Cricetulus griseus: one gene and its partner. The protein of the gene in region 1 purifies or fractionates together with the protein of each later gene. This does not show direct contact. Links are inferred from orthologs where the notes say so. Each region holds a gene or a part of one and is shown on either strand. Other genes may lie near its edges.

What was found.
Region 2: the proteins of Dnmt1 (region 1) and Ezh2 purify together in Homo sapiens (affinity purification with western blotting; 6 studies listed by BioGRID and IntAct, with this or other methods). This does not show direct contact. The link is inferred for Cricetulus griseus from reciprocal best matches to the Homo sapiens genes DNMT1 and EZH2.

What each region holds. Positions count from the first base shown.
Region 1 is NC_048597.1:133,788,201-133,792,013, forward strand, and holds part of Dnmt1 (DNA (cytosine-5)-methyltransferase 1), read right to left. Parts: intron 3,682-3,813; coding exon 3,530-3,681; intron 3,225-3,529; coding exon 3,037-3,224; intron 2,947-3,036; coding exon 2,763-2,946; intron 892-2,762; coding exon 794-891; intron 645-793; coding exon 497-644; intron 1-496. UniProt on the Homo sapiens protein: Methylates CpG residues. Preferentially methylates hemimethylated DNA. Associates with DNA replication sites in S phase maintaining the methylation pattern in the newly synthesized strand, that is essential for epigenetic inheritance.
Region 2 is NW_023276806.1:222,414,160-222,417,858, reverse strand, and holds the end of Ezh2 (histone-lysine N-methyltransferase EZH2), read right to left. Parts: intron 3,663-3,699; coding exon 3,581-3,662; intron 2,435-3,580; coding exon 2,354-2,434; intron 2,193-2,353; coding exon 2,108-2,192; intron 1,103-2,107; coding exon 1,042-1,102; 3' UTR 778-1,041; downstream 1-777. UniProt on the Homo sapiens protein: Polycomb group (PcG) protein. Catalytic subunit of the PRC2/EED-EZH2 complex, which methylates 'Lys-9' (H3K9me) and 'Lys-27' (H3K27me) of histone H3, leading to transcriptional repression of the affected target gene.

The DNA of each region.
Region 1 (3,813 bases):
TTTTAATTTTGTTTGTCGAGGCAGTCTCCATGTAGCCCTGGCTGTCCTGGAACTTACTTTGTAGACTAGGCTTGCCTCAAACTCCGATCCACCCGATTCTGCCAGACTTGGAAGACAGAGCAAGGTAGATCTCGGAGTTCGAGGCCAGCCTGGTCTACATTAGGAGTTCCAAGACAGGCAGAGCTTACGGAGAAACCCTATCTCAAAAAACAAAAAAACCCAAACCTGACATGGTGGCATAATGTGTCTATAACTTTAGCCCTTGAAGTGGAAACAGAGCGGCGTGAAGTGTACAAGTACATGGGCTGCCCAGGCTACAAAGGCAGCTCAGATTTGCCAATGAGGCTGATACGGCTCAGTTGTAGAGCTCCAGCCTGAGGTCTTGCATTCCACTCTCAAGTGTTGGGAGGGAAGGGGACAGCAGCTGGGTAGCACCTGCTTCCTGGCTACAGGGCTAGGCTGAGGCGCAGCAGCACACAAGAGGAAGAGGCCTTACCTTCAACGGCTGTCCCAGCCAGGAGATTCTATCCTTGTTCTGTTTCTTTTTCTTCCCTTGATGCATCTTTTTGGGCGATGGCACCTCTGGGATGTCATCATCAACTTCCTCATCATCATCTGCCTCCTTCACAGCCAAGTTAGGACACCTGCAGAACATACACCACTGCCAACCCAAGGGAGAAGCATCCCGCCCACCAGCTCCGCACCGCACCTCGTCACCACAGGACACTGCAGTACAGTTGCTCCAGCTGCCCTGGCTTCTCTTGTCGGAAGAATGGAACATAGCACAGCCTACCTCCTGTTGAGGCAAGCCTGTTTACTCCGTCCAGTGCCACCAAACTTAACCATATCCTTGCAGGCCTTGCACTTCCCACACTCAGGCTGCTGACAGACCTGAAAAATATTAAAAGGGTTGATCAACCAGCCATTCATAACTAGGAACTTTGAGTTTGTTGTGTTTCTGAGACAAGGTCTCTCTACATAGTTCTGGCTGACCTAGAAGAACTCAATGTAGACCAGGCTAGCCTCAAGCTCAGACCCTCCTGCCTCTACAGACAAATGCTGGGAATTAAGGTGCGTCACCACACCCAACCCAAACTTTCAAAAATATATGCATGCTCAGGGCCAGTGAGATGTCTCAGTGGGTAAAGGAGCTTGCTGCCAAACCTCCCAAGCCAAGTTCAATGCCCAAGACCCACAGCAACATAGAAAACAAACTCCACAAAGTTACTTCTGACCTCCACATGTACACAGCAGCCTGTGTGCACACCGTCACCAGTAAGACATACTGCATCCATGCTGAGCATTTTAGATTTTTCCCACCCATTCCCTAAGGGATACAGCATGACAACTGCACAGACTTAACCTTTGTTAGGTATCAAGTCATCCAGCTATGACTCAGGGCCCTGTGACAGATATGCACAGGTGCCAACACTGTACCCTTAGAAGGGTCCTCTGCATCTGAGTATTTGAAGGTACACAGGGTGCTGAGTATCCTAGAAACTCACCAACAGCTCTGTTACACATCTACCAATGTCCCCAACTGTCACTGAGGAGTCAGTGGGGACAGCCAATAACAAAAACAGCATGAGAACAAGGTAACAAAAGGGCTACCAAGCACCCAGCTCCCTTGTTCACTTTAAAAGGGATTCACATTAGGTACCAGGACACCGAGAAAAAGTCAAAGCATGATGAGGACAGGGCACCCTGAGGAGGGCTGCCACGAGAAAAGGCTGAGCACTACTGTCGGCATGGGGACCAGCCAGGTTCTACTGCACCCAGGGAATGTCGAAACAGATTGAAACCTGAGCTGTTACAGGGTTAGAGTGACAGCCTCTAAAAACCCCAGCAGTCCATTGGGTACTAACATGTAAAAGTCTCTCTCAGAGCTCTCAGGATGCCCAAGTCCCTTTTACAGCCTGAGTCAAGGTGAGCCCCAAAAGCTGGTGTCAGGACACTGACATCACAGGGCTAGGCATGGCAGTGCAGTACCTAGATGCCCAGCTCTCAGCAGGCAGAGGAAGGAGCATCAGCAGTTTCAGGATAGCCTTGTCTACATAGCTGCCTCAGAATACACATGCACACACTGGGCAGTGGTGGTACACACCTTTAGTCGCAGCAACTTGGGAGGCAGAGGCAGGGGGATCCGAGTTCAAGGCCAGCCTGGTCTACAGAGTGAGTGCCAGGACAGACTCCAAAGCTACACAGTGAAATTCTGTCTTGAAAAACAAAATACATGTGCACATGCAGGCCATGGTTCAGGATATAAGTTAATTTTTCAAACAGTCTCCTGTAGACCAGGGTGACCTCAAACTCACTATGCAACTGAGAATGACCTTGAAATCCTGATCTCCCCTGCCTCCACTTCTCAAGTGCCTGGATCACAGGCTTGCGTCTCCAGCTTACCCACATTGAGTTTTGTTTTAATGTGACATAGGTTGATTCCAAGGCCATCTATATGAAGAGTATTCACAAGAGCCAGGCATAGTGGCACAGGTCTATAAACCCAGCTCTTGGAAGAATTAGGTAGGATAGAGACTTCAGCCTGGGAGTGGCTCTGGGGTCAGCCGTCTCTCAGCACCCACAGGACATGGAGGTAGAGCTAATGTGTCTTAGGAAACCAGGCTATATAGCCAATGGCATCACCCACATCGAAGGCCCTGGACACACTTGTTTACTTCAGCCCATCTGTCCAGAGTTCTGACTCCTCACATACATCTAAGAAGACCCAAGGATGGCTCAGGGGAGTGGCTAGGCCTGCTCACCTCACAGACACCACACCGGCGACGCTTAAAGGCATTCTCCTTGTCTTCCATATCATCCTTCTCAATCTGCTCTGAGAAGAAAGTGTCAAAGATCTGGTAGACCAACTTGGTGGTGGTGGCTTTTGTGGGCCCTTTGTCCTTCTCCTTAGCAGAAACATCGATCTTACGGCGTCTATCTGCTCGCCTGAGAGAGATGGCTGCCATTTTAGGGAACCAGACACAGACTGCCTTCTCTGGTCTCAAGTCTCCCATCCAATCCTTACTACATCCTTACCTCTGTCCCAGGGTGACCCCAGCCAACCCGATCAGGGCTCTCATGCACGGAGACAAGAAGATGGGTGTCTCATCATTGTCCTTGGCATCATTGTAACTCTCTACCTGATTGACCACAAACTCGGCATGGCGAAGGAGGGAGTCCTCTGTGAACCGGTTCAGGTTAAGGGCAGAAGGAGGGACAGTGGTCTTTGGGAGAGAGAAAGAACAAAACAGATGTTTCTAATATTTTGCCTCCTTGTAATACTGGGGGAGGTGGACCCTAGTATTTCAAGTATGCTAGGCAAGCAATGTACCAAAAGCTGCACACCCCCAGACCCAAATTGGGGTTTCTAGGCAGGGACTCTACAACTGAGCCACACCCCCAGGCTTGTTGCATTAATCTACCAAACTTCTACTGGTGGAAGTTTGATTCTGAATGCAGTTTTCTCTTGCATCATCCATACTATATGGGGATACAAACCCCTCCCTCTTAGAGAAGGCAAAGCTCTCACCTGGATCTTATTTATTAGGTCTTCATAGATGGCGTGAGGATTGTCTCTCAGGAACTCAACCACAATCTTACTGATGTAAATTTTCTCCTGCATCAGCCCAAATATCGGTGCATAGTCTGGGCTGGGTTCCATCAGAATGTACTCTGCAAATGCTGGGAGGGACATATGACTTGGCTTTAAAGAGCAGTCCAGCTAGGTGATTGTTAGCATTTCTGTCTCCTCCAACACCTGCCTTACGCAGACAGCTGTTTGGTGTGTTTAATGAGGTCTGTCACGTTGCTTAG
Region 2 (3,699 bases), on another chromosome or scaffold:
AGCTCAACTATGGTTGAGCCTACAGAAAAATTAGGCAGCCAATGACGGGTGAGACCAAGGGCATGCCAGCCAACCTAAGACAGAGTCATACAGCCTGGGTGATTTTTGCATTGACGGGTAAGGTTTGCATCAACATCCTGGTCACCTAACACTGACGTTAATTTATACATAAAAAGGGAGAAGAAAAAAAAAAAAAAAAAAAAAAAGGAAGGGGTAGATGTTGGGCCCCAGCCCCCACAGGGTCTCTGAGTTGCTTGTCGGCCAATAACCACAGGTGCATCCTGTTTTCCAGTCCTGGCTTACAGCCCCAGCCTCGCCCCACTAGCATCAACTATACCTGGGAAAATACTCACTCTTACACCTGGGGTTTCTCCACTGTGCTGTAAGTGTATATAAGGCAGCTCTCCCCCTGGAATAAAGTCAGACAGACGCACATAGCACAAGCGGCCAGACGTCTCTTCTAATTAAATCTCCAGGCTTTTGCCTGATACTTGGACTTAGTCGCGGCTCAGACACCACAATTTTACATATGGACAGCAGATTTGGAGGTTGAACAACTTTTCCTGGGTAACAAGCTGACTCACTTTCCCCGATGAATGCCCAGGACCCACACCAGTGTCATTCACTCAAGACTAAAAGGCAATGGTATCACTGTATCTAGGCAAACACAATGCCAATATGTTTATCATAGACAACTGGAAAACCAAAGCTAAGTTGTGTTTTCCCACTGAATATAGTCTTTCTAGAATCAGTTGATGACGCTCTATGACAAGTGACTCAAGAAGTTCAAGTATTCTTTATTCAAAGTTGAAAAATGTACCATACTGCATTATTGCAAAAATTCACTGGTACAAAACACTTTGCAGCTGGTGAGAAGGCAATAAAAAGTTGATTTTTTAAAACTCATTACTATAAATTACTGTTACAGTACTTTGCAAATTCAGAATTTCAAACTGCATTTTCTTTTTCTAAATTGCCCACAGTCCTCAAGGTTCCTGAAGCTAAGGCAGCTGTTTCAGAGGAGGGAAGAGGTAGGAGATGTCAAGGGATTTCCATTTCTCTTTCGATGCCCACATACTTCAGGGCATCAGCCTGGCTGTATCTGAAACAACATGAACAAGAAGTGACTACTGTCCAATATTAGGAAAACCAAGCCTGTTGATGGAGAGGATTATGTCATGACAACTCGCAGACCCCGTCACTCAGCTGCATTCATGAAGAGGAAGCATGCAACTGTCACTCCTCAGTCCCACAGCCCTCCCTGTGCCTTTGTGGCACTCTACTGAGCCAATTCCACATTGTGATGTCTGTGTCTAATACTGAAAAAGCAAAATTAAGATCTGGAAAGTCCCATCACTAAGGAAGCTGGACACCTTTGCCTGTAACCCTGGTCCACTGAGAGCATGCACGAGACACAGCATGAGGACCCTATTCCAATCCCCAGGTGTCACTCACTTAATTCTCTCCAGCTATACAGTACAATGTACTAGAACTAAGCAACACAGGCCCCCATTTCAGCAACTAAAGTTTCTAGGTGGGGTGGATATTCAGTTACAAGAATTCTCTAACTAGATATCTTTACTTGACCACATTTAAGTAACTGTTTTGTCATGTTTGTCCCACAGCCAGGTAGAACACACTGCCAGCCTGCCTGTCTCCTGCCTGTCTCCTGCCTGCGGAGCTCTACACTGTCAGTTGTACTAGCTTCCCCAAAAAGATTCCACAGTGACCACAGGGTAACGACAACAATTAAAGCAATGAAGATAGATACACAAACTGCACCAATGAGAAAGGGTGCCTTAGAATACCGACGTGAAGTGAGACATAAGACCCAGGGGTCACAGTCATCAACAGCCGGGAGTTCAACGCAGCTTCCTGCGTGGGGTTTGTTTTTTCAAATAAGCATTATATAATTAACACATGGCAACCTATATTGAAGGAGCATTTAACTCCCTTCTGGTGTCCACAGCAATCAATGACTGGCCAGTTCAAAGAATGCCCTCTCCAATGACAGCAGATCAGGCAAAGAACTTAACGGCCTTTGACCTCAGCCCACAGTACAGGAAGGGAAAGCCTGCAGATTATACTAAAAGTTTATTTTACCAACCTGTAATCAAAAAACAGCTCTTCACCAGTCTGGATAGCTCTCTTAGCAAAGATGCCTATCCTGTGATCACCGTTAACCATCATAACTGGAAGGAGAAACACGGGGCTGGTGAGCATGAAGACAGGCCATGGCGGGTAACTGACTTCACACAGCAGGTGCCCCAGAGATACTGAAGTCTGCTATCACTTGGCTGGTAAAAAAGGGAATTTTTTGCATCAAATTGGCAGTGCCAACCTAAAAGCCTACCTTTTGCATAGCAGTTTGGATTTACTGAATGATTAGCAAAACGAATTTTGTTGCCCTTTCGGGTTGCGTCCACCACAAAATCTAAAAAAACAAAAGAAAACAATCCAGTGACTAATTGCAACCATGGACTAAAGTTGTTATGGTTTTAGAAACAGGTCTTCAGGATTTGACCTCAAAAGCAAATAAAACATTCAATACAAAATGACATTTGGAAGAAAATACTATTCTACATTAAAATGAATCCCTGGTGGCTAAATATGGCTCTCAAATGCCACGACTTCTCAATTATATGTTGCTGAACAAAACATGCCTAAAAAAAAAAAAAAAAAAAAAAAAGGATTCCTGCCGAATTTCTGTGAATATCAAGAAGTAGGCATATTGAGATTTAAGATTAGAATATTTCTATGGAACATTTTCATAAAGAAGAAAGAAAACATGTTCTATTTGTCCAGCTGAAAGTTTCTCTGAATATCTGTATTACCAACCCTGGCTGAGGTAGCTGCTGCTTTCCTCACAACCTGTGGACAACACCCTGGGCCACAAGGTTTCCACATGCTGCCTGTGCTCCCAGATCAGAGATGGTGACTAACCGGGTGCTGAAGCTACTCAGCCCCCAAATCCCAGGGAACACAAGACAAACTACAGCTGTGGGGGAGACAATGTCCCCTCACAGCCAGAGTGTCTGGGGCTCCTTGTTTCCTGCATATAACCCTTCTACTCCATGGGGACTTCCCCTCTCCTCACACATCCCTGAGCCTAGGCCTGGTGATAAAAAAATCCCAGGAGCTGTTCCTGTAGACACATGCCCCTTCCTGGCATCTTGCTGACTTCCAACCTGAAATGCTCAGCCAGCAATCAGATCCCAAACCACCTCCAAGGAGCTAAGTGCCTCCAGCTCAGCACACACCACTGTTCAAGGAGCTAAGTGCCTCTAGCTCAGAACACACCACTGTTCAAGGAGCTAAGTGCCTCCAGCTCAGAACACACCACTGTTCAAGGAGCCAAGTGCCTCCAGCTCAGAACACATCACTGTTCAAGGAGCCAAGTGCCTCTAGCTCAGAACATATCACTGTTCAAGGAGCTAAGTGCCTGCAGCTCAGAACACACCACTGTTCAAGGAGCTAAGTGCCTCTAGCTCAGAACATATCACTGTTCAAGGAGCTAAGTGCCTCCAGCTCAGAACACACCACTGTTCAAGGAGCTAAGTGCCTCCAGCTTAGCACGTACCGTTGTTCAAGTTGAAAAGGAAGCTGCACATATACTTGTCATACACTTTCCCTCTTCTGTCTGCTTCATCCTGAGAAATGATCTAGAAGGAAGACACAGGAGGAAATTGTTTGGAGTAA